Saccharomyces cerevisiae S288C: one gene and its partners. The main gene of each other region encodes a partner of the protein of the gene in region 4 in a complex. Each region holds a gene or a part of one and is shown on either strand. Other genes may lie near its edges. The genes, in order: SPT15, NAP1, HTA2 and KAP114. A codon is read from its position in the direction of its gene.

What was found.
Region 1: the proteins of KAP114 (region 4) and SPT15 are in contact, whole or in part, in a cryo-EM structure (PDB 8H5B), measured with the Saccharomyces cerevisiae proteins. Residues at the interface, in NP_011273.1 of Saccharomyces cerevisiae: Ser205 (codon at 2,903), Asn208 (codon at 2,894), Asp263 (codon at 2,729), Ser361 (codon at 2,435), Glu363 (codon at 2,429), Thr364 (codon at 2,426), Gly365 (codon at 2,423), Leu366 (codon at 2,420), Ala368 (codon at 2,414), Ser369 (codon at 2,411), Tyr370 (codon at 2,408), Asp374 (codon at 2,396), Asn377 (codon at 2,387), Glu378 (codon at 2,384), Thr381 (codon at 2,375), Leu421 (codon at 2,255), Tyr510 (codon at 1,988), Tyr513 (codon at 1,979), Glu546 (codon at 1,880), Asp547 (codon at 1,877), Glu554 (codon at 1,856), Gln558 (codon at 1,844), Ala590 (codon at 1,748), Asn591 (codon at 1,745), Val592 (codon at 1,742), Gln593 (codon at 1,739), Val596 (codon at 1,730), Gln597 (codon at 1,727), Tyr933 (codon at 719), Leu936 (codon at 710); in NP_011075.3 of Saccharomyces cerevisiae: Val71 (codon at 5,174), Thr73 (codon at 5,168), His88 (codon at 5,123), Ala89 (codon at 5,120), Arg90 (codon at 5,117), Asn91 (codon at 5,114), Arg98 (codon at 5,093), Phe99 (codon at 5,090), Arg105 (codon at 5,072), Arg107 (codon at 5,066), Glu108 (codon at 5,063), Lys110 (codon at 5,057), Leu114 (codon at 5,045), Phe116 (codon at 5,039), Lys120 (codon at 5,027), Met121 (codon at 5,024), Val122 (codon at 5,021), Thr124 (codon at 5,015), Lys127 (codon at 5,006), Asp131 (codon at 4,994), Leu134 (codon at 4,985), Arg137 (codon at 4,976), Lys138 (codon at 4,973), Arg141 (codon at 4,964), Ile142 (codon at 4,961), Gln144 (codon at 4,955), Lys145 (codon at 4,952), Ala150 (codon at 4,937), Lys151 (codon at 4,934), Phe152 (codon at 4,931).
Region 2: the proteins of KAP114 (region 4) and NAP1 are in contact, whole or in part, in a cryo-EM structure (PDB 9B3F), measured with the Saccharomyces cerevisiae proteins. Residues at the interface, in NP_011273.1 of Saccharomyces cerevisiae: Val927 (codon at 737), Asp928 (codon at 734), Asp929 (codon at 731), Tyr939 (codon at 701), Asp942 (codon at 692); in NP_012974.1 of Saccharomyces cerevisiae: Arg290 (codon at 2,861), Lys291 (codon at 2,858), Gln292 (codon at 2,855), Arg293 (codon at 2,852).
Region 3: the proteins of KAP114 (region 4) and HTA2 are in contact, whole or in part, in a cryo-EM structure (PDB 8F0X), measured with the Saccharomyces cerevisiae proteins. Residues at the interface, in NP_011273.1 of Saccharomyces cerevisiae: Ser70 (codon at 3,308), Gly72 (codon at 3,302), Glu74 (codon at 3,296), Ala120 (codon at 3,158), Val121 (codon at 3,155), Asp122 (codon at 3,152), Phe123 (codon at 3,149), Pro124 (codon at 3,146), Asp125 (codon at 3,143), Asp155 (codon at 3,053), Asp156 (codon at 3,050), Val157 (codon at 3,047), Val158 (codon at 3,044), Ser159 (codon at 3,041), Glu160 (codon at 3,038), Gln203 (codon at 2,909), Asp859 (codon at 941), Ile861 (codon at 935), Ile862 (codon at 932), Thr863 (codon at 929), Arg864 (codon at 926), Ser865 (codon at 923), Met866 (codon at 920); in NP_009552.1 of Saccharomyces cerevisiae: Gly24 (codon at 2,807), Glu58 (codon at 2,705), Tyr59 (codon at 2,702), Ala62 (codon at 2,693), Glu63 (codon at 2,690), Glu66 (codon at 2,681), Leu67 (codon at 2,678), Asn75 (codon at 2,654), Lys76 (codon at 2,651), Lys77 (codon at 2,648), Arg79 (codon at 2,642), Ile81 (codon at 2,636), Pro82 (codon at 2,633), Arg83 (codon at 2,630), Leu87 (codon at 2,618), Arg90 (codon at 2,609), Asn91 (codon at 2,606), Asp92 (codon at 2,603), Glu94 (codon at 2,597), Leu95 (codon at 2,594).

What each region holds. Positions count from the first base shown.
Region 1 is NC_001137.3:463,714-470,686, reverse strand, and holds SPT15 (TATA-binding protein), read right to left. Parts: upstream 5,385-6,973; coding exon 4,662-5,384; downstream 1-4,661. Other genes in the region: mRNA-binding ubiquitin-specific protease UBP3, read left to right, coding at 1-1,001; SPI1 (Spi1p), read right to left, coding at 1,871-2,317; PEA2 (Pea2p), read left to right, coding at 3,217-4,479; cohesin-loading factor complex subunit SCC4, read left to right, coding at 5,845-6,973. UniProt on the Saccharomyces cerevisiae protein: General transcription factor that functions at the core of the DNA-binding general transcription factor complex TFIID. Binding of TFIID to a promoter (with or without TATA element) is the initial step in preinitiation complex (PIC) formation.
Region 2 is NC_001143.9:522,913-530,523, forward strand, and holds NAP1 (histone chaperone NAP1), read right to left. Parts: upstream 3,729-7,611; coding exon 2,475-3,728; downstream 1-2,474. Other genes in the region: UIP5 (Uip5p), read left to right, coding at 1-434; YKR045C (uncharacterized protein), read right to left, coding at 506-1,057; PLN1 (Pln1p), read right to left, coding at 1,311-2,162; FMP46 (putative redox protein), read right to left, coding at 3,918-4,319; TRK2 (Trk2p), read left to right, coding at 4,903-7,572. UniProt on the Saccharomyces cerevisiae protein: Acidic protein, which assembles histones into an octamer (in vitro). Involved in the regulation of the localization and the function of the septins during mitosis. Involved in the function of B-type cyclins.
Region 3 is NC_001134.8:232,917-239,537, forward strand, and holds HTA2 (histone H2A), read right to left. Parts: upstream 2,877-6,621; coding exon 2,478-2,876; downstream 1-2,477. Other genes in the region: UTP20 (Utp20p), read left to right, coding at 1-2,201; HTB2 (histone H2B), read left to right, coding at 3,576-3,971; ECM15 (Ecm15p), read right to left, coding at 4,237-4,551; alpha,alpha-trehalase NTH2, read right to left, coding at 6,025-6,621. UniProt on the Saccharomyces cerevisiae protein: Core component of nucleosome which plays a central role in DNA double strand break (DSB) repair. Nucleosomes wrap and compact DNA into chromatin, limiting DNA accessibility to the cellular machineries which require DNA as a template.
Region 4 is NC_001139.9:43,226-48,959, reverse strand, and holds KAP114 (karyopherin KAP114), read right to left. Parts: upstream 3,516-5,734; coding exon 501-3,515; downstream 1-500. Other genes in the region: anaphase promoting complex subunit DOC1, read right to left, coding at 1-347; ankyrin repeat-containing protein ANK1, read left to right, coding at 3,763-4,308; TAD1 (tRNA-specific adenosine deaminase), read right to left, coding at 4,451-5,653. UniProt on the Saccharomyces cerevisiae protein: Required for nuclear protein import and mediates docking of import substrate to distinct nucleoporins. Serves a receptor for nuclear localization signals. Mediates the nuclear import of TATA-binding protein (TBP) and of histones H2A and H2B.

The DNA of each region.
Region 1 (6,973 bases), on a different chromosome or scaffold from region 4:
GGGGCCATCAGGAAGACGCAGAAGAATTTTTGACCCACTTATTGGACCAATTACACGAGGAATTAATTTCTGCAATTGATGGCTTAACCGATAATGAAATTCAAAATATGCTGCAAAGTATTAATGATGAACAATTGAAAGTTTTCTTTATTAGAAATTTGTCACGTTATGGAAAAGCAGAGTTTATCAAAAATGCTAGTCCTAGACTGAAGGAGTTGATAGAAAAATATGGCGTGATCAATGATGACTCTACCGAAGAAAATGGTTGGCATGAAGTGAGCGGATCTAGCAAAAGAGGCAAGAAAACTAAGACCGCTGCCAAGAGGACTGTCGAGATTGTTCCATCACCAATCTCCAAACTTTTCGGTGGCCAGTTCAGATCTGTGTTAGATATACCGAACAATAAGGAATCTCAATCGATTACACTCGATCCGTTCCAAACAATTCAATTGGACATTTCAGATGCTGGTGTGAATGATCTAGAAACTGCATTCAAAAAATTTAGTGAATACGAATTGCTACCCTTTAAGTCCTCGTCAGGGAATGATGTCGAGGCCAAGAAGCAGACTTTTATTGATAAATTGCCGCAAGTTCTTTTAATCCAATTCAAAAGATTCTCATTCATAAATAATGTGAACAAAGACAACGCAATGACGAACTATAACGCGTACAATGGACGTATTGAGAAGATCAGGAAAAAAATTAAATATGGTCACGAGTTAATCATACCTGAAGAATCAATGTCTTCCATAACATTGAAAAACAACACCTCAGGGATTGATGATAGAAGATATAAGCTAACCGGAGTTATATACCATCATGGGGTAAGTTCCGATGGCGGTCATTACACAGCGGATGTTTATCATAGCGAGCACAACAAATGGTATAGAATAGATGATGTAAATATTACCGAACTAGAGGACGATGACGTTTTGAAAGGTGGCGAAGAAGCTTCTGATTCGAGGACTGCCTATATTTTAATGTATCAAAAGAGAAATTAAGACGGGGGGTGGTATTATAGACAAAATACATAAAAAATAATATAGCAATAATACAATACAATACAATACAATACGATAGTGAGCACGATTTTAAAAAAGAAATAGAGACAGACAGAGAAACAGAGTTACACTTTATGCTTGGCATATTTAAAAAATGATTTCGCCCAGGATCGAACTGGGGACGTTCTGCGTGTTAAGCAGATGCCATAACCGACTAGACCACGAAACCAATTATTTCTTGGAGATGAACATTTAAGAAACAAATACCTTGTAGAAGGAATGTGAATTTCAAAATATTATGGCCTTTGGCAACAATGGAATCACAACAATTATCACAAAACTCATACATCTCTTAAGATTCATTTCTTACTTTAAGTAATCATCCAAATTTAGCCAAAGTTTGATTTTACCTAAAAAAAGCAGAGGATTCCCGATTTCAATCATATGTGCACAGACGATGAGTCCAACACGTTATCGTTAACATAGTGCTCAATATTGCCACTGCGCTTCGCAGGAGCATATTTCGTATACGCCAAGCCCAAGGAGGGTTTTGTCATTAAGCAGCTTACGCCAATTAAGTGCTAACCTCGAAGCACCATACTTTATCTCAGGATTTACAAACTCCCTATTGCACAACGGCAAACAACATAATCATGACCAAATGGGTAAAAAAGATGAGCTGTGAAAAAGCCAAAAAAAAAAAGGAAGAACTAGAATTACATTTATTATTCTACACACAAAAAGAAAAAATAGTTTCTTTATTTAAATGATTTGAAGAAAAAGAACTATAACGACTACATCGAAGAATACAATATTAGTAAAAAACACATGTCCTGTTTAAAATAAGTCTCTAGTTAAAGACTATTCGATCATAAAAGCATCATAACTGCACCAGCCAAACCTAGGGCTCCTGGGATTGCTCTTGCGTTAGCAGCATTAGAATTTGTCTCCACATCATGTGTAGAAGAAACCGATGTTTCTGAAGTAGGCTTCTCGATAGTGCAAGGACAGTTGGTAATTGTTAACGTAGTTGGGGCAGTAACAGTGAATGTAGCGCCATTCGTTACGAAAGTCGTTGGTTCTGGGCAGTAAGTAGTGAATTCACTGACAACTTCGTACTGTGTTGCAGTAGCAGTCGAGTTGTAGAATATTGGAGCGGCGGATGATGGCTCTGGTGCTGGCGTGGCTGTATCGTTACCGGCAATAGTAGCATCGCTTGATGGTACCACGATTACAGAGGAACTAGAATTAGATACCAATCCGAGAGCCGTAGAGGCCATGGCCAATGATAGAAGGAGCTTAGCGTTAGACAACATTATTAGTAATAGTACTGATTTTATTTTTGTGTATTGGATTCTTTTTGAGTAGAAAGTAAGATCAAGAGAGTGCAAGTGAAAGACGAACCTGGCAAAAGTAGGCCGACTTTTTATATAGATATACTTACACTTTTCCAGCTAACAGGGATGGAAAGCCCTCATTTGGGCATCTGGGAACTTCGAGAAGTTTTTTTCTTCATCTGGCATAAATTCTTCCAGAGGAGGCTATAACAATAGATCTTCTAACAAGCCGAGGGGTGAGGGGAAGGAACGTCATCGCCTAAATGGGATATCAATTAACCAGATTAGGTAACTTGCGTCCCGGACCTTCAAATAAATACTCGCGGGATTCGGGTTCGAGCCCCGATAGGGGCCCCCAGTCCCGGCATGGCTTTAACCCCATATGTGCTCCTCCAGAGATTAAGCACTAAAGGCTAGATGAGACAAGCACTAATTTCAATGAATTAGCTTTGAATATGATATTTCTTCTTCCCCCGTATTCAAAGAGTCTACTCCTCACGGTTACAATTGAAGATACACTAAAATTCGGTCCATATTGACACCGTTGATGAAGCGTCACTTCTGGATTTTTAGCATAAACTTAAAATATCTTGCATTGTGTACTATTACAGTGGTCCAAAGACGTTCTCCTCTCGCCTTGTTCCAAAATCCCAAAATGTTATGTATGAATGAATGAGGGAAACGTCAAAAATTTTTCATTACCTCGCCACAATTATGCCTTTTCTTGCAAGTCGCGCTCGCGTCAATAAACACATGATGAGTATGTGTAAAGTGATGATGATGGTATGGTAACAAATAGTTGAGCTGAACAGATTACAAAAGATACTATCGAAGTCCTGTGTTCGAGAGGGAGAATAACGGTGGATATCACGTTTCATATGCATAAATTTGATCTAGAGCTCTCGAGAAGAGCGAACCCTTTGCTTTTTAGTGCAGAACGATACGAAGAGTATCCATTGAAATACGATGAATTGAAACAGTACCTTCTCTCCCAAAATCCGTCACATCCGCATCACAATAGTAGACCATACACTTCCATTGACTATTTTGACTATCTTCTGTATAGAAGTAAAAATGACGAGTCAGAAATAGACCTTGACAAAAAGCTAGTGTCTGAGTTCGCCCTATACTACGTTCAAAAAGAGCACTTGAACTCTGATGATCTAAATCCCACACTCAATGAGTTGCTGAAGCTGCAGCCGAAGTCTGCGGATTGGTATGAAATGATGCTGAGGATCCTTGAATCCATTAACACTACAGGGATAGACCAGCTTACGAAGGAAAACAACAACAGTTTCCCAAATTCTAAAAGAGCGAGGTCTTCCACTAATATGGGTGGCACAGATAAATTTAACAAGGGTGCTTACCATACTGACAAAGCTGATGACGATAAAAATGAAATACTTCAAGAATTAACGTCCTTCTTGATGTCAAACTCCATTCAGAAAGGCATTGATATCAAGCCAATACCATTAGATGACCCTGTGAAGTTCTTGAAAAATGGGATAAATTCTATCTTGGATACCTGCGTCAGTCTAGAAAAAAATACGTCATCACCACCTATTTCGCCTAACGCCGCTGCAATTCAAGAGGAAGACTCCTCTAAAAAATTAGAAGAACTAGAAACGGCATTTAGTGATTTGCAACTGGCACACAATTTCTTGACTAAGCAATTCGAGAATGACCGTGCCGAATATGTACAAGATATCGAGAAGCTAACGCGGACTAACAGAGAATTACAAGATAAGTTATTAAACAACCACTCGAATTTGAGTAAAACTGAAAAGAAATTACACGAATTGGAGCAGGAAAATAAAGAACTTGAAAAAGCCAACAACAAGCTGAATTCAAGCAGACATAATTTCGGCATGTCATCACCAGCGAGTTCGCCGGTGACTTGGGATCCAAGTTCACCTTCCTCTGTAGGAAGCCCCACAAGCGGTTCTGGATCACGTTCACTTTCAATAATGACAAGTGAGTTTAAAAAAGTGCTTACGAGTACACAAAGAAAGTATGAAAAAGAATTGTCGGATGAGCGTGAACATAGATTCAAGCTGGAAAGGGAGCTTGCTTTGCTGAAAAATGCAGAGGCAAACACCTCGCTGGCGCTTAATAGAGACGATCCACCAGATATGCTATGAATAAACATCTTATTATAAAACATTGATATATAAATATAGAATAAGAAGAATATACTATAAAAAACCGTTTGATATTACAATTACTTCTTCTTCCTTTTCTTTTATTTCTTTGAGGACCATTAATAATTGAGAAAATGGAACAAATAGAAAACCTTTTTTTCTTTTCGTCTACTCCTTCCCCATCACATTTTTCTAAATTCACTTAGCACAGGGTATATAGCTTCAAAAGCTTGGTAAATTTCTTCCCTTTGCTTTGCACCAGTAAGAACAATCTTTCCTGAAACAAAAATTAACAACACAATTTTCGGCTTCACCATTCTATAGATCAAACCAGGAAACAATTCTGGCTCATAGGAGGAGAAAGTACCATGACTGAATGCTAACCCTTCTAGACGTATAGGGAATTTAACGTCACACGAACCGACAATATTTTGTATTTTGAAGTCTGTGAATTTAGCAGCAAACCCGATTTTTTGGATAATTCTTGCATATTTTCTACTGGCCAGCTTTGAGTCATCCTCACTTTTTGCACCGGTAACAACCATTTTCCCTGAGGCAAAAATTAAAGCTGTAGTTTTTGGCTCTCTAATACGCATGATGACAGCAGCAAAACGCTTGGGGTTATATTCTGCATTACGGGCATGTAGCGCAACTGTTTTCAGATCTAACCTGCACCCCAAAGTCACAGTTGCCACAATGTTTTGTAGTGTTGGAACAATACCTGATGTGGCGGAGGTGTCTTTTTCAGATTCTGGGGCAGCTCTTTTTATGTCCTCTTCACTCTGGAAAGTAGTTGCTGGTTTTGTACCATCTCGATTCTGGTTTTCCCATACTTGTCTGGTATTTGGATCAAACACTATCTTGTTTGCCTCTTTAAACTCCTTTAAACGTTCCTCATCGGCCATAATTAAAAAAGTTTCTCTTGATACACCTGTTTATGTTGGACTAGAAAAGAAAAATAAAATGCAGCCTTTACTTCCTTGCTTCTTCCGCAGAGCAGTCTAACTAGTAGTCGTTTTATTTCTTATGTGTTATCTTTCCCCCGATCTTATAGTCCAAAAAAAACAGTAACTACTGTAATTTTCACGTCCCTTGTTTACTCTTACCATCAAGAATACCTATCAAGGTAAAAAAAGTCATTAGTAATCCTTTGAAGCCATGTTTTATATGTAGATCTTCAAATTTTTTTCTTTTCCCAAAAAGCTCGCGTAAGAGAAACTTGGAAGATAACTATTTACGGCTTCACAATTAAAATACGTAAAGAGATGAGTTAGATCTATCAGCAAAGGGAATCCCGACATCTCAGCTATCAGAGGGGAATCAGTATTGGTAGAAATTGAACGATTTCGAAAGAAGTACAAATTCATGGAAAATCTTGGCGACAAACTTAGTATTTCACAAGTATACCACTTAGCACAGGAATACAGAGACCATGCATATTCAATTGCGAATAAAATCGGTTCTGAGGAAGGGTTGAAGCAGTATTATGGCCTCATGAACATGTCTATCCAGATGTTTCAGCTATTGAAAACGAAATGTACGCTTTCAGTTCTGGAGGATAGTAAGGTCACGTTTGAGATGGTGGAGTTATTGATACAGGAGACGTATAATTTTGACCTAGCAGAGCTTTACATTTCCAGTTTGAAAGAACGGTTACAAACGCACCAGAGCGACACAGATTTGGTAGAAGAGATCATGCGTTGCGAGTTTCTGCTGTTACATGACTTGCCACTTATGAGAGACAGTAAGTTCCACTATAAGATTGCACTAAGAAATTGCAATGAATTAGTCCAGTACATGGTAAATTTGCAGGATGAGTTGTATCAAAATTGGGCATCCGTATTCCAGTATGTCGGCGTGATGCTTTGCATTAAGCTGAAACAGCACCGCAGGGTGAAGACGAGTTTTCATGGGCTACTCTCGCAATGTCGGGAAAAGTCACAATGGAAATGGTTTCTAAATCTGTGTTATGTGAATTACTTGCTAAATGAGAGGTTCCCAATCCCCGAGGATGCTCTGCAGGAGCTGCGAAGCACGGAGCTGCACACGGTGGGGCCTGAGCTATATGCATGGAAGTTGGCATTAGAGATGGTAATCCAGCTTTGTAAAGACGGGAATATTACGGACCACTTGAACGAATTCAAAAATTTCTTTGACACAAACAAGCAATCTCTAGTCACTAATGAAGGTAAGGGATGTGTGATCAAAATCATGCCAAGGATAGCGCTGAAAGTAGAGTTGCCTATGATTTTCCACTACAAAGAATTAAAGAACATACTGTTATTATTGCAAAGTGTCAGCTACATCGTGAACTGTTATGACGAAAAGGGCAATTTTTCCAGGAAGTTCCTCCCCAAAGTCTATTCTACAACGCAGAAACTGATTAAGAACATTGCCGCTGGCGGTGTTTCGATGAATGAGCTGGACTCACGAATCCAGACATACAAGAGCATTCTTGAATTCTGTGAGTTTTACAAAGTGTGGGAACAAACAC
Region 2 (7,611 bases), on a different chromosome or scaffold from region 4:
GCGCATTAAATGGCCAATTAACGGAGACAGTGGAGCTGCTGGACGTATCCACTAGCGAATTCCATTGGAACGACATGGATGCGTCCATTGAGGACACCTATGATTACGCAAAGGAAGCTGAGCTATTCCTGGAGCAGGAATTTGGCGAGGTCCTTGACAGGGAACCCGATGAGTTCACCAAATGGAAAATGATCAAAGCTCAACCAAACATCAAGACTGGGTCACAGTCAGCTGAACAGAAAACTTCAAACAATCCTCACTCTCGGTTGTTCAAGGTCGTGCTGACCATATGGCATTATAGCGAGATTTTGCTATTGATCATGGGCATTTATCTTTTTTCTGCTTGCATAAGAGTTTTCCAAAGAAGGTTCAAAAAAATTAGATCCAGAAGAAAAAGGGCAGGCTCGCATTCTGTGGGGCTATTGCCCATGTAGCATTGCATAGGCACGCACATACATACATACACAAATAATACAATATAGGACGTTCATCTTAGGTAGCCAATTCACGGTCTTCTTGTGGTAGTGTTACTTGCGTTCGACGGCGGGAGGGTTCTTGATCGATCCAATATACTCTGTGGTGGGATGGCCAGAACGCTAGAATTCGTCTCAAACGTCCTGTTAGAGAATATTGTGGGCCTCGTAGACTGTATTGAATGAATGTCCGAGAAAGTAGACGACTTCACTGACGAGGAACAAAACGATACTAGCGGAATAACACTTGCGTTGTCGTTTTGTTGTTGCTGCTGTTGCTGCTGCTGCTGTCTTACTTTGCCTGTTGGTGGTTCATCCCATGCCACTCGACGGTCTCCTTCGTCATCGGATTCGCTCGAATGCAACGAATTTCGATCAACCAATGGTCGCAACGACGAACTGATGGTTGTTCCATCCGGATCCAACTCAGCACGCTTAACTCTTGTGGGGCCAGCCCTAGTGCCGCGTCTTGGTTTACTGCTCGAGACCGATGCGTTAGTTGTGGTAGTGGTGTTTATTATTTTTTTAACCCACACTGAAAGTTTGTTTCTTCTTCCCTGGGATGTATGATGACTGTTTGACATGCTAGGACTTTCCCTTGGCACCATGTATATTCACTTTTATTGTCTCTTGATCGAGCTATAACCAAATTTTTTTTTTTTTTTTTTTTTTTCGTTTTTATAATTTTTTCTTTGGTATTCAATTGTATATAGTGCTCAAACAGCAACGTACATAATAGCTAGCAAACAATAGATGAAATAATAGAATAATAACAAATAACTATATAAGAGTGGCAGGAAAAAAAATCAGGCGCACGATTAGCGCAAAACCAAATTACTAATTGGTCGACACAGCCGCGGGCTTAGAATTGGTTTGGTCTTCTCTTGAGGCCTTTAGCTTCTCAATGGTGGCATTGCCCAAGTCCAACCCGGTGGATACAATGGCTTTAGGGACGCTTTCAGATTTACTTAGATTGTTTTCATAGACAGTGGTGAAGCGTTGGTAGGTTTCGTTAAGCTTAGTCTTTGTTGGGTCGATGTACACAGACTGCAACTTGTCAGTTGTGGGCTTCACTATGGCGTCGTACTTTTCTTTAGCCAGGTCCTTGGTTGGGTCGATATAGTTCGACTTGACCTTGGACTGGATCTCCTGCGACATACCTCTGGTCGTTGAAGACAACTCTGCCACGTGGGGCAAAGAAGAAGCATCAGTGACCTTGTTCTCCTCACCGGAAGAGCCGATCTCCTTCGATGCGGTAGAACCTTGCAAGTGCAATGGCTTGATCAGGAACTCCCTCAACAGAGTATTAGAAATGTTGGCGACGTAGTCGACGAAGAACCACACCAGCCAGATCCCTGGCGTGTTGGAATGTGATTTCCAATTGTACAGCAAGCCGTCGACACCCTCCTTGAACACCAAGAGGTTAACTAACTCGTCCAACTTGAAGGCCCCTTCCTTCCCAGCAGCAACAACTTGCTTCACCAGACGAGGAGAGCTGGACGATTCGGAAACCCACTGGTTCACAGATCCCAAAACAACGAGGTTGAAGGAAATCAATCTCTCCACAGGTGGCAGAGATTCCGCATATTTAATAAACTTGGATAAAGCTGGGTATCTTTGCAGATGCGACCAGGTTGCTTGTGGCAATTCCACAGATGGTTTAGAAGAAGAAATAGATGATTCAGACATAATTACGCTACGGTTCTGGAGAGTGAGTGATGGTTAATGATTACCGATACATTCCGTTATCTTTCCTTTTATAACCCTTGCTGCTATATTATTAAATCCGAAAGAATACGATCATCCCCCACGGCGGAGAAAATCTAGGCTATTATTATCATTATTATTATTATTATTGTCGTCTTAGTTACATGCGCTTTAACATATATTTCAGCTTACACACTTACATGTATATACATATATATATCTATATATGTATGTATACATATGTATATAAATATATGAATACGGTTATGACCACTCTTGCGAAGTGCGTTGGGATTATGACTGCTTGCATTCAGGAGCCTGTTCCGGCCTGCCAGCAAAATCGTCTTGCTCTTCGGCAGATTCCCCGTCGTCATCCTCCAAGCCGTGATCATCATCTTCTTCTTCGTCTTCGTCCTCGTCCGCTTCTTCTTCGTCCTCCTCGAACTCGAATTCCAAGGCTGCGCCGGTAAACCAGTCCACGGCTCTAGGAATTAGCTTGTCCTTAAGTTGTTCCCCGATGGAGTAGTCTAAAGCTAGACGTTCCTCGAGGTCTTCCTCCAACTCCTCGTCTTGGTCTTCGTTTTGGATCTTGGGAGGGTCGAAGAAGTTGAAAAAGGATTCTATGGGAGTGATCTTCTCGATGGTCCTCACCTGCTTGGTGGTCTTGTTTCTCTGCTTGCGCATTTCTAGGTCCACAGTGACGTTGTGGGCGTTGTCCTTCCAACTGATCTCGCAGCCTTCTGCGTGGTCGTAGATAAAGTCCCCGGAGTAACCGAGCTCCTTCTGGTAGAAGTAGGTCTTGCACAGAATGTCGTTGGTGAAGAATGGGTTGGCGGAAGAATCAAATCTGAACAACAGCTTGAAACCGGGTCTACCATCCGTCAAGTATTCCAGACCAATATCTTGCAGGTACTCCAGAACTTCCGCATCGCGGTCAGTGATCGTGTCGCAAACGATGGGCAAGTTCTCTAATGCGGTTAGCCAGAATGAGGGAATTCCCTTCACCTGTTCCTCCTCGGAATCATTTTGGGCCTTCTCTTCTTCGTCCACCAACAACTCCGTCTCATTGAGTGACTCCACAATCTCTTGGCCCTTTGCGATCTGTTCCGGCTTGGGTTGCTCTTGTCCTGAAATGATCCTGGACCGCTGCTCCCAAATGGGCTTGTACTTCTGCAGAAACTTGTTCTCTAGCTCAAACATCTCCACCTGAAATTCCTTTTCAACTTCGAATAGCTCGCTTTGTAAAGTCTTCAAGCTCAGCAGCTTTTCCTTAACGTTCTTGGGAAGACCCCCCACATACCCGCTGTCCTGGCCCACCAGCGAGCCAAGTCTGTCCTGGATGGACTGTAACAACAGGGGTTGGTTAGCCAAGATGTCCTCCTCGTTGATGGTGCCGATCTTGTCATCCTGCTCCTGTGCCTGGGCCCTAACTGGGTTGCCGTTTTTCAAATAGCTCGGATTCAGAACCGATGCTGGGGTATTGTGAGGCGTAGGGGCGTTGTCGATTTGCATCGACGACTTGGGTTTCGTTCTGATAGGGTCTGACATGATCTTGCGCTTTGCTCTTGGTCCCACTGGGCTCACTAAATCCTCCTAATCTACCATCAAACTGCCATTTTTGATCCCAAACGCTGCTATTTAAAAGGAAAAATTTTCCCAATTACGCGGGTAATACAAAAAAGATATAGCCCATTGTTATAAAAATATGTATGTGTTCAATATAGTGGTATATAGGTGTTATTTGCGCTGAATGATGTACTTGTCAATGTCTGCGGGCTCATTTCCCACCAACTTGTTTTCCCAGTCGACCCAAAGCGCCTCCTTTGGATTCCAAAGTCCCCTCTGGACACACTTCTGCAGGTCCATCCCGAACGTCGGGTCTGTGTGCTTGTATTTGAGCACTGAATCCAGCTTTGGAATCTGCCTTTGCAACGAAACTGGGCCTTGCGGGCACGAAGTTCTCATGTATTGCAGCTGGTCCCACGTGGGAAAGCGGTTGGCGATTTCCACGTCGAATCGATGAGAGACGTCTCCCTTCAGCAACTGCAGGCATTTCTGCGACTTGATATTGGACGCGATGTCATTGGTAAACAACGAGATGGTACGTGGCTGTCTCTGCAATGTTTTCCAAAACGACATTTATTGCGTTTGCGTTTGCGATCTCCCGGTCTGTTATTTTCATTTGCACTTTTCTTAACGTTCTCTTTTGGTTTTATATGCCCCTTTCCAAGCTGGGTGGATACCCCGTCCATTGAGTGCCCGTGCCCAATCAAGCTAAAGCCAGACTAAAAAGAGGAAGAGTTCAAGAACCATCAATGCCTCCAGCACAATTTCACAACAGCTTGACACTTTGGCAACGGTTATATCAGAGCATAGCGACGGGATTAGAGAGATGCAAGACGACGGAAGAAAGAAGGGAGTGCCCGGCATGCGCTGAAAGCGCCCTGTAGTACAAGCGTACCGCCGTTGAATAGGCCATGGTACATCACACGATGATTGATAATTTGATGCAAGCTGCCATGCTCAGATGGTTGTTTCCCGTTTCTCTCTTTCACTTTTGATCTCCTGCGAAGAATAGGATGAGATGTGAATTTTCGTTTCTAATCCCCTCGGCCGTGCGGCTGAAAAAGAGAAATGATATTGGAATAACTAGGTTTCAGATGATGAGAAAAGAGGCTATTTTGTACTATTCACCGACGATAAGAGGCTGTAAGAACCACTCATGCCAACAGCTAAGAGGACGTCATCCAGGGCTTCGTTGGCACTGCCCTTCCAGTTACGGTTGGTGCACAAGAAATCATGGGGCCATCGGCTAAGAGACTTCATTTCCGGGTTCTTAAAATCATGCAGACCCATTGCTAAATACGTTTTCCCCAACTTCATCGTGGTGCACTATATCTACCTGATCACGCTGTCGATTATCGGGTCCATTCTGTTATATCCGTGCAAGAACACGGCGTTCATCGATGTGCTATTTCTGGCTGCTGGAGCGTCTACACAGGGCGGGCTGGCCACCAAGAGCACTAACGATTTCAACCTGTACCAGCAGATAGTGGTGTACGTCATTACATTGCTGTCCACGCCTATACTTATTCATGGGTTTTTGGCCTTTGTCAGGCTGTATTGGTTTGAAAGGTACTTCGACAACATTAGGGATATCTCCAAACAGAATTTTAAACTAAGAAGGACCATGACGTTGCAACAAAGGGAACTATCGGGCAGCAGTGGCAATGCCGCTCGAAGTAGGAGTTTCAAGGACAACCTGTTCCGTGGGAAGTTTGTTTCCAGAGAAGACCCACGACAATCCGCTTCAGATGTGCCGATGGACTCTCCTGACACGTCCGCATTGTCCTCAATCTCACCGTTGAATGTTTCCTCCTCTAAGGAGGAATCCAGTGACACGCAAAGCTCGCCTCCAAACTTCTCAAGTAAGCGCCAACCCTCAGACGTTGACCCAAGAGACATTTACAAATCGATAATGATGCTACAAAAACAACAAGAGAAGAGCAACGCAAACTCCACGGATTCTTTTTCGAGCGAGACCAATGGACCCGCTTTCATTGTGCAGGAACGTCATGAGAGAAGAGCCCCCCACTGCTCACTGAAACGCCATTCTGTCCTGCCATCTTCTCAGGAATTGAACAAGCTAGCCCAGACGAAAAGTTTCCAGAAATTGCTTGGCTTGCGGAGAGATGAAGGTGACCATGACTACTTTGACGGTGCTCCTCACAAATATATGGTCACCAAGAAGAAAAAAATATCTAGAACGCAATCATGTAACATCCCAACGTATACTGCTTCACCGAGTCCTAAAACCTCAGGCCAAGTAGTTGAAAATCATAGAAACTTGGCCAAGTCGGCGCCTTCATCTTTTGTTGATGAGGAGATGAGCTTTTCACCGCAAGAGTCTTTGAATTTACAGTTCCAAGCGCACCCGCCCAAACCAAAACGACGTGAAGGTGATATAGGCCACCCCTTCACCAGAACAATGAGCACCAACTATCTATCGTGGCAGCCAACCTTTGGCAGAAACTCCGTCTTCATTGGACTCACAAAGCAACAAAAGGAGGAACTCGGCGGTGTCGAATATCGTGCTTTGAGATTGCTGTGCTGCATTCTCATGGTATACTACATCGGATTCAACATTTTGGCGTTTGTGACCATCGTTCCATGGGCCTGTACGAGGCACCACTACTCAGAGATTATTAGACGAAATGGAGTTTCTCCAACCTGGTGGGGGTTTTTCACTGCAATGAGTGCATTCAGCAACTTGGGTCTGTCTTTGACCGCTGATTCAATGGTTTCCTTTGATACTGCGCCGTATCCGCTGATTTTCATGATGTTCTTCATCATCATAGGCAATACAGGCTTCCCAATTATGTTACGATTTATCATTTGGATCATGTTCAAGACCTCGAGAGACCTATCTCAGTTTAAGGAAAGTCTTGGGTTTCTCTTGGATCATCCGCGCAGGTGTTTTACGTTGCTGTTCCCCAGCGGCCCCACATGGTGGCTGTTTACAACTTTAGTCGTCTTAAACGCTACGGATTGGATTCTTTTCATAATTCTGGATTTCAACTCCGCTGTAGTAAGGCAGGTTGCTAAAGGTTATCGAGCTCTCATGGGCCTCTTCCAGTCTGTATGCACAAGAACTGCTGGATTCAACGTTGTTGACTTAAGTAAATTACACCCGTCCATTCAGGTGTCTTATATGCTAATGATGTACGTTTCGGTCCTGCCGCTGGCGATTTCCATTAGAAGAACGAATGTTTATGAGGAGCAATCGTTGGGACTATACGATAGTGGACAAGATGACGAAAATATCACCCACGAAGACGATATAAAGGAAACAGACCATGATGGCGAATCCGAAGAGCGAGACACTGTATCTACAAAGTCCAAGCCGAAGAAACAGTCCCCAAAATCGTTTGTTGGTGCTCATTTGAGGAGGCAACTCTCTTTTGATTTATGGTACCTATTCCTTGGATTATTTATAATATGCATATGCGAGGGCAGAAAAATCGAAGACGTTAATAAACCTGATTTCAATGTCTTTGCTATATTGTTTGAAGTTGTTAGCGCTTATGGTACAGTGGGTTTGTCATTGGGTTACCCAAACACCAACACATCACTATCTGCCCAGTTCACCGTATTATCGAAGCTAGTCATAATTGCCATGCTAATAAGAGGAAGAAATAGAGGTTTACCATACACTTTGGATCGTGCCATCATGCTGCCAAGTGACAAACTGGAACAAATTGATCGTTTACAAGATATGAAAGCTAAGGGTAAGTTGTTAGCCAAAGTTGGTGAGGATCCAATGACTACTTACGTCAAAAAGAGATCCCACAAACTGAAAAAAATAGCAACAAAGTTTTGGGGGAAGCATTAAAATCAAGTTTACCCCTCTTTACCTACATAAGAGCCAACG
Region 3 (6,621 bases), on a different chromosome or scaffold from region 4:
TCAGCCTGACAGAATTTGGAACATTACTCTCTCCTGTGAAGGCTTTGTTGATGGTCAGAATTAATCTAAGAAATCAAAACAAACTGAGTGAATTATTGAGACGATATTTGTTGGGTTTAAATCATAATAGTGACTCTGAGTCAGAAAGTATCCTCAAGTTCTGCCATCAGCTTTTCCAGGAATCAGAAATGAGTAATTCCCCTCAAATACCAAAGAAAAAAGTGAAAGACCAAGTAGATGAAAAAGAAGACTTTTTCTTGGTAAATTTGGAGTCGAAATCTTATACCATCAACTCAAACAGTTTGCTTTTGAACAGCACTTTACAAAAATTTGCTTTAGACTTACTTAGGAACGTAATAACGAGACACCGCTCCTTTTTAACTGTCTCGCACCTAGAGGGTTTTATTCCATTTTTGAGAGATTCGTTACTTTCGGAAAATGAAGGTGTGGTAATTAGTACTTTACGTATCCTGATTACATTAATTAGGCTAGATTTTTCCGATGAATCTAGTGAAATCTTCAAAAACTGTGCGAGGAAGGTACTAAATATTATCAAGGTTTCTCCTTCAACTTCAAGCGAATTATGCCAAATGGGTTTAAAGTTTCTTTCTGCCTTTATACGTCACACAGATTCAACATTAAAGGATACTGCTTTGAGTTATGTTCTAGGGAGGGTCTTACCAGATTTAAATGAACCAAGCAGACAAGGCCTTGCTTTTAATTTCCTAAAAGCACTTGTTTCAAAACATATCATGCTTCCAGAACTCTATGACATTGCGGATACTACTAGGGAAATCATGGTCACAAACCACTCAAAAGAAATTAGGGATGTATCCAGGAGCGTTTACTACCAATTTTTAATGGAATATGACCAAAGTAAGGGTCGTTTAGAAAAGCAGTTCAAATTTATGGTCGACAATTTACAGTATCCTACCGAGTCCGGCCGTCAGTCCGTAATGGAATTGATCAATTTGATTATTACAAAGGCTAATCCTGCTTTACTATCCAAATTATCATCTTCCTTCTTTCTGGCGCTAGTTAATGTTTCTTTTAATGATGATGCGCCAAGATGCCGTGAGATGGCTTCAGTATTGATTTCCACCATGCTTCCAAAGCTTGAAAATAAGGACCTTGAAATTGTTGAAAAATATATAGCCGCTTGGCTAAAACAGGTTGATAATGCATCCTTTTTAAATCTTGGGTTGAGAACTTATAAGGTCTACTTGAAAAGTATTGGGTTTGAACATACTATTGAGCTAGACGAGCTTGCCATCAAGCGTATAAGGTACATTTTGAGCGATACGTCGGTAGGATCAGAACATCAGTGGGATTTGGTATACTCAGCTTTAAATACGTTCTCATCTTATATGGAAGCAACAGAGAGCGTTTATAAACATGGTTTCAAAGACATATGGGATGGTATTATCACATGTCTCTTGTATCCGCACTCATGGGTCCGTCAATCGGCGGCAAATCTTGTTCATCAACTCATAGCCAATAAGGATAAGCTGGAGATATCATTAACCAATCTGGAAATTCAAACCATTGCAACAAGAATTCTTCACCAATTAGGTGCGCCTTCTATTCCGGAGAATCTTGCGAACGTCTCAATAAAAACATTAGTTAATATCAGTATCCTATGGAAGGAGCAACGCACGCCGTTCATAATGGATGTATCAAAACAAACTGGAGAGGATCTAAAATATACTACCGCCATTGATTATATGGTAACTCGAATTGGTGGTATTATCAGGTCGGATGAACATCGTATGGATTCTTTTATGTCGAAGAAGGCGTGTATTCAGTTATTGGCCTTATTAGTTCAAGTTCTGGACGAAGACGAAGTAATTGCAGAAGGGGAAAAGATATTATTGCCGCTATATGGTTATTTAGAAACATATTACTCAAGAGCAGTTGATGAAGAACAGGAAGAACTACGCACTCTTTCAAACGAATGTTTAAAAATACTGGAAGACAAATTGCAAGTATCCGATTTTACAAAAATATACACTGCTGTCAAACAGACCGTATTAGAAAGAAGAAAGGAAAGGAGATCTAAAAGGGCAATTCTGGCTGTTAACGCTCCACAAATTTCTGCTGATAAAAAGTTGAGAAAGCATGCGAGATCGAGGGAAAAGAGAAAGCATGAAAAGGATGAAAATGGGTATTATCAAAGACGTAACAAAAGAAAGAGAGCCTAGCTGTAATATATCTTTATAACATGTATACTAATGAATAAAAAATCCAAGTTATAACGTCAAAGCTGTAGTACGTTAGCATTTCCGTAAGTAAAACCGTAAACTTGATACGTTTTTTATTTTCTTTATTAATAGTAATACTATACACTGTCTTTAATAAAACGACGCTATTTATAAAACTGTTAGATAAAAGACATACCAGTCTTCCTCATATGACCTACTTTAAAACCCCAAATGACAAGAATGTTTGATTTGCTTTGTTTCTTTTCAACTCAGTTCTTACAGTTCTTGAGAAGCTTTGGCAGTCTTGGCAGACTTCTTTGGCAACAAGTTTTGGTGAATGTTTGGCAAAACACCACCTTGGGCGATGGTAACATTACCCAATAGCTTGTTCAATTCATCATCATTTCTGATGGCCAATTGTAAATGTCTTGGAATAATTCTGGTTTTTTTGTTATCTCTAGCAGCATTACCAGCCAATTCTAAAATTTCAGCAGCCAAATATTCTAAGACAGCAGTTAGATAGACTGGAGCACCAGAACCAATTCTCTGGGCGTAGTTACCTCTTCTTAGCAATCTGTGCACTCTACCAACTGGGAATGTTAAACCAGCTTTAGCAGATCTAGATTGAGAAGCTTTAGCAGCTGAACCAGCTTTACCACCTTTACCACCGGACATTATATATTAAATTTGCTCTTGTTCTGTACTTTCCTAATTCTTATGTAAAAAGACAAGAATTTATGATACTATTTAATAACAAAAAACTACCTAAGAAAAGCATCATGCAGTCGAAATTGAAATCGAAAAGTAAAACTTTAACGGAACATGTTTGAAATTCTAAGAAAGCATACATCTTCATCCCTTATATATAGAGTTATGTTTGATATTAGTAGTCATGTTGTAATCTCTGGCCTAAGTATACGTAACGAAAATGGTAGCACGTCGCGTTTATGGCCCCCAGGTTAATGTGTTCTCTGAAATTCGCATCACTTTGAGAAATAATGGGAACACCTTACGCGTGAGCTGTGCCCACCGCTTCGCCTAATAAAGCGGTGTTCTCAAAATTTCTCCCCGTTTTCAGGATCACGAGCGCCATCTAGTTCTGGTAAAATCGCGCTTACAAGAACAAAGAAAAGAAACATCGCGTAATGCAACAGTGAGACACTTGCCGTCATATATAAGGTTTTGGATCAGTAACCGTTATTTGAGCATAACACAGGTTTTTAAATATATTATTATATATCATGGTATATGTGTAAAATTTTTTTGCTGACTGGTTTTGTTTATTTATTTAGCTTTTTAAAAATTTTACTTTCTTCTTGTTAATTTTTTCTGATTGCTCTATACTCAAACCAACAACAACTTACTCTACAACTAATGTCCTCTGCCGCCGAAAAGAAACCAGCTTCCAAAGCTCCAGCTGAAAAGAAGCCAGCTGCCAAGAAAACATCAACCTCCGTCGATGGTAAGAAGAGATCTAAGGTTAGAAAGGAGACCTATTCCTCTTATATTTACAAAGTTTTGAAGCAAACTCACCCAGACACTGGTATTTCCCAGAAGTCTATGTCTATTTTGAACTCTTTCGTTAACGATATCTTTGAAAGAATTGCTACTGAAGCTTCTAAATTGGCCGCTTATAACAAGAAATCCACTATTTCTGCTAGAGAAATCCAAACAGCCGTTAGATTGATCTTACCTGGTGAATTGGCTAAACATGCCGTCTCCGAAGGTACTAGGGCTGTTACCAAATACTCCTCCTCTACTCAAGCCTAAGTCACTCACTAGGTATTGTGATTTAGTCATGTTTTCTTTTTATTAGTGGCATTTTTTATATATTGTAACATTAGGGTTCTGTTACTTGTCCAGATATGATTGGAAGGGTCTAGTCTATCAGCCTCCGAAGGGAGTTGTATAAATGTATATATATAACTTTATAAACAAAAAAAATTGGGAAAGATATTTTGCAAACAGTTATTATTAAATTGTTTCTTAAACTCTCCTTAAAGATATACCCTATTTAGGTTCACTACACGAGCATTCATTGAGAAATTTTTTTTAAAACAACATCGATCTTATCTTGAGCAGTTTGGTGCTTATCAGTTCTAGTCCCAACACGAATATCAGTGTGTACTCTAACATATCCTTTCTCATGACCGTATTCATGGATTTCGCCAATCAAACCCATCACATCATCCCAAGGCCCTTCAATTGTTGTTCCTGCACTGTGTAAAGTGCTCTTTAATGGGCTTTCTCTGATTTTTTTTTCAATGAGTGCAACAAAATCAGAAATACTAGCAGAGTCGGTGCCAATAGGGACCATACACACGTCCGCTAAACAAAAGATCTTGGGCATTTTCTAAACTTGTAGTTTATGTGCTTTATAGTTAATGATCACGACGGCAATGACAAAAACTGAATATCTTGATCTCTCCTTTTGACGATGTCAGTGAATCCCGGTTAATGATATTCTGTTTTTCACGGGGTGGAAAAGAGGGGAGCTTGAATCATACTAAAAAAGGAATGTCAAAGAGCTATATAATTCGAATAAAAAGTAAAAGAAACGAAAGGTTTTATTAAAGGGTTTGGAGCTGTTTTCGGACTGAAAGCCAGTAACAAGCTTGTGTAGGAGTTTGTCTGAAAACCATCTTCATTTCAAATAAGAGAGCGAGTAATTTTTAAATAATTTCTTTTCTGAACTACTTAAATCGCTATGTACCTTGCGAAAATTATTCTTTAATAGTTTAACTAAAAGTAAAAAGTTAGAAATCATAAATAAAAAATCAAAGAGACAAATCTCGTTGCAAAAGCTTGAAAAATAGTGCTTTACCAACAGGTTGGCAAACCAGAATGCTAACAAAACTTAAAATCCCATTTCCCAAGAGGATCAATCAATCATATTTACCTTGATAGTATAGGATACAAGTGTCTGTGCAGGCCTCCGATAACATGTAAAGTAATAAAAGTAGGAGTACTTGCTTTCAGCAGAAAATGAAAAAAAGAACGTTCAAACAGACTGAAAATATAGCTATTCAACTGGCACCTACTAATATCAATAATAATAAATTAATCTTGAGCAAATTGATCCTACATAAATCATGTGACTTATTTATTTAATTATTATTAAGTAAAAAAGATTTTCTATTTAAATTTATTAATTAATTTTTTTTCTTAAATAATTATTTTATGTTTTTGTTTTCCGAAAAAGAAAAATATTTCAACAAGAAGTATCAATATATTTCTTGCAAAAAATTGTTCACCGAGAATTGACAAAAAAACCTTACGTCGGTGACGACGATATACAGATCCTATATTCTTCATGTATGTAATAGATTCCCATACCTTCTTCGCATTTAAGACACTAATAGAAATGAAAGCTTTCTATTAGTCATTCTTCCTATGCACTAGACCACGCAAAGGTGAACCGGCTTGGTACGAGAATTCTATCACACGGTAATGATAGTGTTCCCGATGTCAAGCAGTCTTATACAGTACTACCCAAGAGCTTAAGAATAAGCAAGAAGATCTGGCAAGCTACAAGGTACTCATAACGATCTTCAAAGCGTAAGTTATGATCTTATGAAAATCAGACTTTTTTGTCTCAACAAACTCCTAGTTTGAAGATGTTACTGAAATGCCCTTCAAACACTTTTACTTGAAAATCATCGATTACTATTCTAACCTTCACAAATGAGCCTTTACACAACTTGATTAATAATAATATTTGACCTTACTCTAAATCGTCTCAAATATTACTGAGGCACAATCTCATGGTTATTGATAGAAAGAAGAATATAACATATATCTTATTTACATATGTTCGTCAATATTATAGGTAATACAATTTTTTCTCAGAGGGTTTCAAACTATTGAAAAATGGCAATGGTGGACTACAAGCAGCGAGAGCCCTTCTTGCATGATTATTCATATATTTCAATCCGAGCAAATAACTTGTGTTCACCCAACCAAAGCCTTCTGTAGCGACGCCCTTAAAATCAGCACCTTGATTACCATATTCCGCATCAACGCGATGCGGATCAGTCCCTCTTGTCACATCATATTTTTCTACCACCATTCCGTTATAATCAACAAATGATTTTGTAATCATGTACAGCCACCTATAAGCCAATCTTGTAGCTACTTGTTGATAACCATATGCAGATAAACCTTTCCAGGCTAATATTTGGTGCGGCGCCCAACCAAAAGGATAATCCCATTGCCTGATCGGTCTATCAATAGAAATAGGACCTCTTGATTTTTCTGTGCATGCAACTAGTCCGCCGAGCATTTCTAACTGAGGAAGAGCTTTTTCTACTGTGATTTTTGCTTGCTCTTCAGTTGCAAGACCAGCCCACAAACTCCAAAAAGTCGTTGCAGACTCATAAGACGTTCTGCATTTCAGTTTCGTGTTATAATAGAAGAAAAA
Region 4 (5,734 bases):
TCGCTCTGCCAAAACGTATCGTAGTTATCATCTAGAGCAAAGTCCACAGGATTCCCCAACTTAAAAGAAGAAGGCTTCCAAAGCGCTAAATGTGTCACGTTGATCATCCTTGCCGAATCCAATATTTCAATACCTTGGTGGAACATATGTTGCAAGTTCTCCGGTGTAGGATTCTGATACTGAATCTCTTCTTGGAACCCATTCACGTAGAGATCTTTGGTTGCCGCATCCACAATCCTGTCATCCAACACCAACACTGAAGGTTTATTATGGCAACTCTTAACAGGTTTGATAAGCTCTGAGGGTGCTAAATGGTCCAAGACTTTGTTTATTCCAATCGGGTCCATTATCTGACTTCTAAATCTCGTATTATTTTTGCCACCTTCTGTGGTCAGTTTATTTAACACTTTCTTTCTTTTATATAGACGGCGCTTATTTTGCCGCATTTTTTCTACTCTAACTACTTTACATCTGATATCTCCACGGCTTATGTATATAAGCTACAAAAGGGCTTCTGAAAGAACTTTACGTTCACTGTCGGATAGAGTCTCGTAAATACAATGGAAGCCACTCACATCTTTGCTTGCAACCTCTTTAAAGAATCTTACCAGTAGCTGAACAACAGATTCCTTCACGTCCATGAGTCCCGTTATATCGTCTGAATCGTCGTCTGCTTCTTCATCGACATCATCATCAATATATTCTTTCAACTTATCGTAATCGAGTACATCATCTACATCTTCCCAATCATCATTGTCGTCATCTTTATTAGCATTTACCACTTCTTGCTTAATATCGCTTGTGATCAATTGTTCTGGATTCGGTTGTTTACTTTGGAAGCTTAACTCAGAAACAAACAATTTAATGATCTTGGTATAAAGTGGAACTTGTACATACCTGTCTGGCATTTTCTTAGCCATTGATCTTGTAATGATCAGGTCCCCTTCGTATGGTATCAAGTTACCATTGACAACCACTTTCTGTAGCCTTTTGTCGTTCAGGAAGAAAAGGTTGCTCAAAGCAACGATATTTTCTTTGATTCTTTTTTCACCTCTAATGACTTCAAAGGCTTCTATCCATTTTCGCATCACCAATGTCAAAGCATCAGTATTGTCAATTTGGAAACTAGACAAAAAATCCACCGTTTGTTTAGGATCATTACACGTTAAGAAGCATAATACAGAAAGAAGGTTTTGCTCAGTAGAAATGTTTTGTGTCTTAATTAACCTTACCACAACGGCTTCCAAAATTCTTCCTATTAACGGTTGGATTTCCTTTGAAAACCTTGTGAATATGGCAACTACCAATGGACCGACGTTCATAGCGGCTGAATCCGATACCTCCAAAGACAGCAGCCTTTCTAGAACCTTCATGATATCCATTAACCTTGGCTCCATGGCTCGTGTATCTGTGTTGAAAATCAGGTAGCTGAATGCCTCCGTGGCTAACTGTAGGGTCTCATCTTCAGTAGAGAACGCTAATACTTTTGCTAATGGTTCAAATAGGTATTGATTTATTTCATCTGGTAAAAATCCATCGTTGGGTTTTTTCTTCAAAAAAACTGTGATGAATTCCAAGACTAATGATAGCAGGGGTGAGTATCTATAATTGTTTGCATTGTTGGAATCTAGCACATTAATAAATGATGGGAGACATAATTCAATGTAATTTTTGTAATTATCCATATTGATATTATCCAATAGTTTCTCCAAGCATTCTTGACTTTGTACAACGACCTGTACATTTGCTGGATCCTCGGATGAGATCGTGAACACAAGATGAAATTCAGCCTGTAAAATTTCCTTTCTTGAATGAGGTTCTTTCGGATTGTAGCTAATGACTTGACTTAATACTTCCATTAAAGCCCCATTAGTGTCCTCTTCGGCATCACTACTAACCTGGTTGATTATTCGAATTACTTTTTCCTGGGTTTCTGAGCAGACCTCTGGTCCAAGGACTGAATCTAGTTCGGCAAAATAACAATAGTACGTAAATGCTATTAATGTTGCGGATTTAATGAGCTCTTTATCAGATTTTAGCGCCAAATTAAGACTTTTTGCCAAGAATGCAGATGTCAAGGGTTTGATATCAGGTAATGCATCTATAAATTTGTCTAGTACTCTGGGAATAGTCAAAATTGCACGCGCCAATATTAATTCTGGTATTTCTTGTGATACTAAGATATTTTCTAACGTTTTTATTAAAATTTGCAAAGATTGATCGATATTTTCACCAGTTATCTCATCATCATTAAGCAAAATACACTGTAAGAGATATAGTAAAGATTCTAAAGTTGAATAATTACACGTGCTGTGTTCTATATCGTTGGAAACAACTTTGAAAATTAGGGAAAGTTGAGGATTGGGTAATGAAGTAAAAAATTCATTGGCTTGATCTCTAACATTATATGATGCTGCTAGGCCTGTTTCCTTCGATACAAATGTATTGAAATCGCTTGTCCATATCTCTCTTGTCTCAGAACTTAGCTGACAAAGAATGGTTAAAGATGTTATAATTTTGTTCATCTCTTCAACACTAAATTGCAAAGTGCAAACACTAGTCAAAAATTCTACAATATAAATAGAACAATCATGAACTGTTTCTAAAAGGGGTTCACTTTCAGTAGTTTCGACATTTGCATTTATATGGGTAACGTTTTCCAGATCTTGGATTGCCATTATTTTGAACTGTTTTTGTAATTCACTTGAGAAATGCTTTCTAGAGAAATCATTTTTAATAAAAACCAAATTCTCGTATATAATGGATTTAAATTTCAACTGAGAAATAACATCTACGTTTCCAAAATTCAAAGTCAACAATTGTCCCAATATCTGTAAAGAAGTAGCTAAACATTGGGAGACAAAACTTTTTCGTGACGCCTCATCATACTCATTATGGGAGCTCATTTGTAGAAGACATGCTTTAAGTAGCTTCAAAGCAGCAATTTTGGCTATCAAAGTAGAAGTTTCTGTATTGAGTACTTTGAAAACGATCTCCATTGTCGCCAAGCCAATTCCGCCTTCAAAGAACATTTCTTCAGATACGACATCATCGTAAATTTCATTCAATAAAGACATCGCATTTAATGAATGCTGATGAGAGATAGCATCATAAATAACTGTTAAAAGCTGCGGCCATTGATCAGGAAAATCAACCGCAGATATCTGAACAATACAGTAAGATGCACCATTTTTTATTTTGGTATTTTCATTGTCATTTAAGCATAATTTCAGTAGCACTTCTCGGATAAAATCTTTAACATCTATTTCGACGTTCGATGTAGAACGGTATGATTCAAATCCTGGACTCCAATACATGGTGATCAATTTTCTTAACGACAATAAAGCAAACTGTCTCGATTCTAGAGAAGCTTCGTGCTGTAAGGCAACGTTTGCCAGCGCTTTAAACACTTGAGATGCATCGGAATCACACCACTGTAACAATTGCGTTTCCGCAACTTCTCTAGTGTGTTTATCAGCTGATTGAGCACCTATTATCAATTCATTAATATCCATTTTAATGTGTTGATAGTGTTACAATTACGTTCAAGATTTTCGGATCGTGTATGCAGGTCATATACATCCATATGTATCTTTTTTTTTTTTTCCTAGTATACCCAAGGTATAACGCGTTGATAGAAAGGTTGACAATAAATTCATTATATAGGGGTCCTGTGAGGTAGTTTCTGAATCCCAGTGAAAAAAGTCATAAGTGAAAGAAGTCGAAGTTTTTCACAAAATAAATTAGTTTCTTTTTTTGATCATGAATACTGAAGGTGCTTCTTTAAGTGAACAATTGCTGGATGCAGCTAGAAGAAACAATCTGGATCTTTTGGAGACCGTATTTGATAGCTTAGATAATGATCCTGAGAAGATTGCAAAGCTAATTAACGAATCCAAAGAACCACTGGGGAATACAGCGTTACATTTATGTTGTAAGTATGGATCCTGGGAAGTTCTCGACAAGATTCTCGATCAAGACGGTGAAATCGAAATAGACCCACAAAACGACGTTGATGGCGACACTCCGTTACATGTTACTGTCAGATACAGTCAAGAGGAGCCTGAGCATGGAACTTTTATTGCTAGAAACTTAATTGAAGTGGGTGCGGATCCTAGGGTGAGAAACTATAACAATCAAAAGCCAGTTGATTTGGTTCATGGTGATGAACTGGATGAATTAATTGACCTTTTGCAGGGTGCCGAGTTAGCGATTGATAGTACCAATGGATCAGGTGATAACAATGAGGATGGGGAAATGATAGATGATGGTCCATCTGACGATGACGAAGAAGATGATAAAAAATGATAAAATATGTGATGATAATACCACAGAGAGGGAAAGATAGATGAACTCTGGATATATAGATATTTCTACTGTGTATATATTTCTTTAAGGTGCACTAACAAAAAAGTGTGCATATACGCATATTCAACAATATATATATATATTACTTCACATCATCCGTTCTGGTGGGTATCCAACCATCGGGAGATAAAATGTTCTTTATTGCGATAATTAACTGGCTTCTCTTTTTTTGACGAGATTTAAATTCCAAATAGCTTATTCCTTCATACTCTGGTCTTATTTTTTTGAATAGTTCCCATTGTGCAAACCGGCTTACTTGCGATTGACAGTGTTTCCTCAGTGGTTTCGATGATTTGGTATAAAATCCATTCCTCACGCCATTAAGAATCGCTTCTTCGGTGCTAAAGTCATCCATAAAGAGCTTGACACTACACATTAGACCAGGAACATCCTCCTCATCCAATTTATCATCATAAAATGGTTTGAGGCAATTCAGGAATTTAATTTCATTATCTAGATTCGGTAGACGAGTGTGAAATGATTGCTCTAGATGATGTTTCGTTTCATCTTCTAAATTAGGAATCACAATGTACTTTAAAAATACAGGTTTTTCAAAGAGTTCATAATTTAAACAATTCAGTACCGACGACCGTTGTTTCATTAATAATTTATCAGAACAGGATTTAGATAAAGTGATATTGGAATCATATCTTCCTGGTTTAGTCCTAACGACATTTCTTCTATTGAAATTCAAGCGTCCCCTCAATATTGTTTTCACACTACGGTCGACGTATTGAAATTCGTCGCTATCTTCTATTTTGATGAAATCATCATTTTTGCAATTATCATTCAGGAAACTCATGCTGGCATCACCACAGGGCAATCTCGAGATGTACAATGCCAACTCCCAGTTTTCCTTTAAATTGAATCTGGCAGGTATCTCGTCATTATGTTGAATGAATTTATCACCACTTGATGGATTATAGTTTTGAATACGGTTTAATAAAACTGTATTAGCACCTCGTAATGCCAGTATTTCTGCATGACAGTCATGCAGAATCTTCCCCTCACTTCTTTGTAGTTCTGAATCTGGCAAAGCCTTCACACCAGTAGCTATGGAAAGTATCTCTATCTTATTCGCACCGCCATCTCTGTTAATAGCTGCAACACCTGCCAATATTGTCCACTCTCTGATACCTGAAGGCCTAATTATTGGTCTGCAGGCAGATTTTAGTTTTGAATACTCATTAATCACCCTCGTTGATATCTCTTCACCCAATTTATCCTCACTTGGCATAGTGAGAAGGTTTACTATGCATGGCCTTGTTCCTTGGCACGAAACCATTCACATCACTATTATTTTCTGTTCATTTTTTTTTTTTTTTGCATCACAACGATGATAGTATTATTTTTATTTAGTATATTT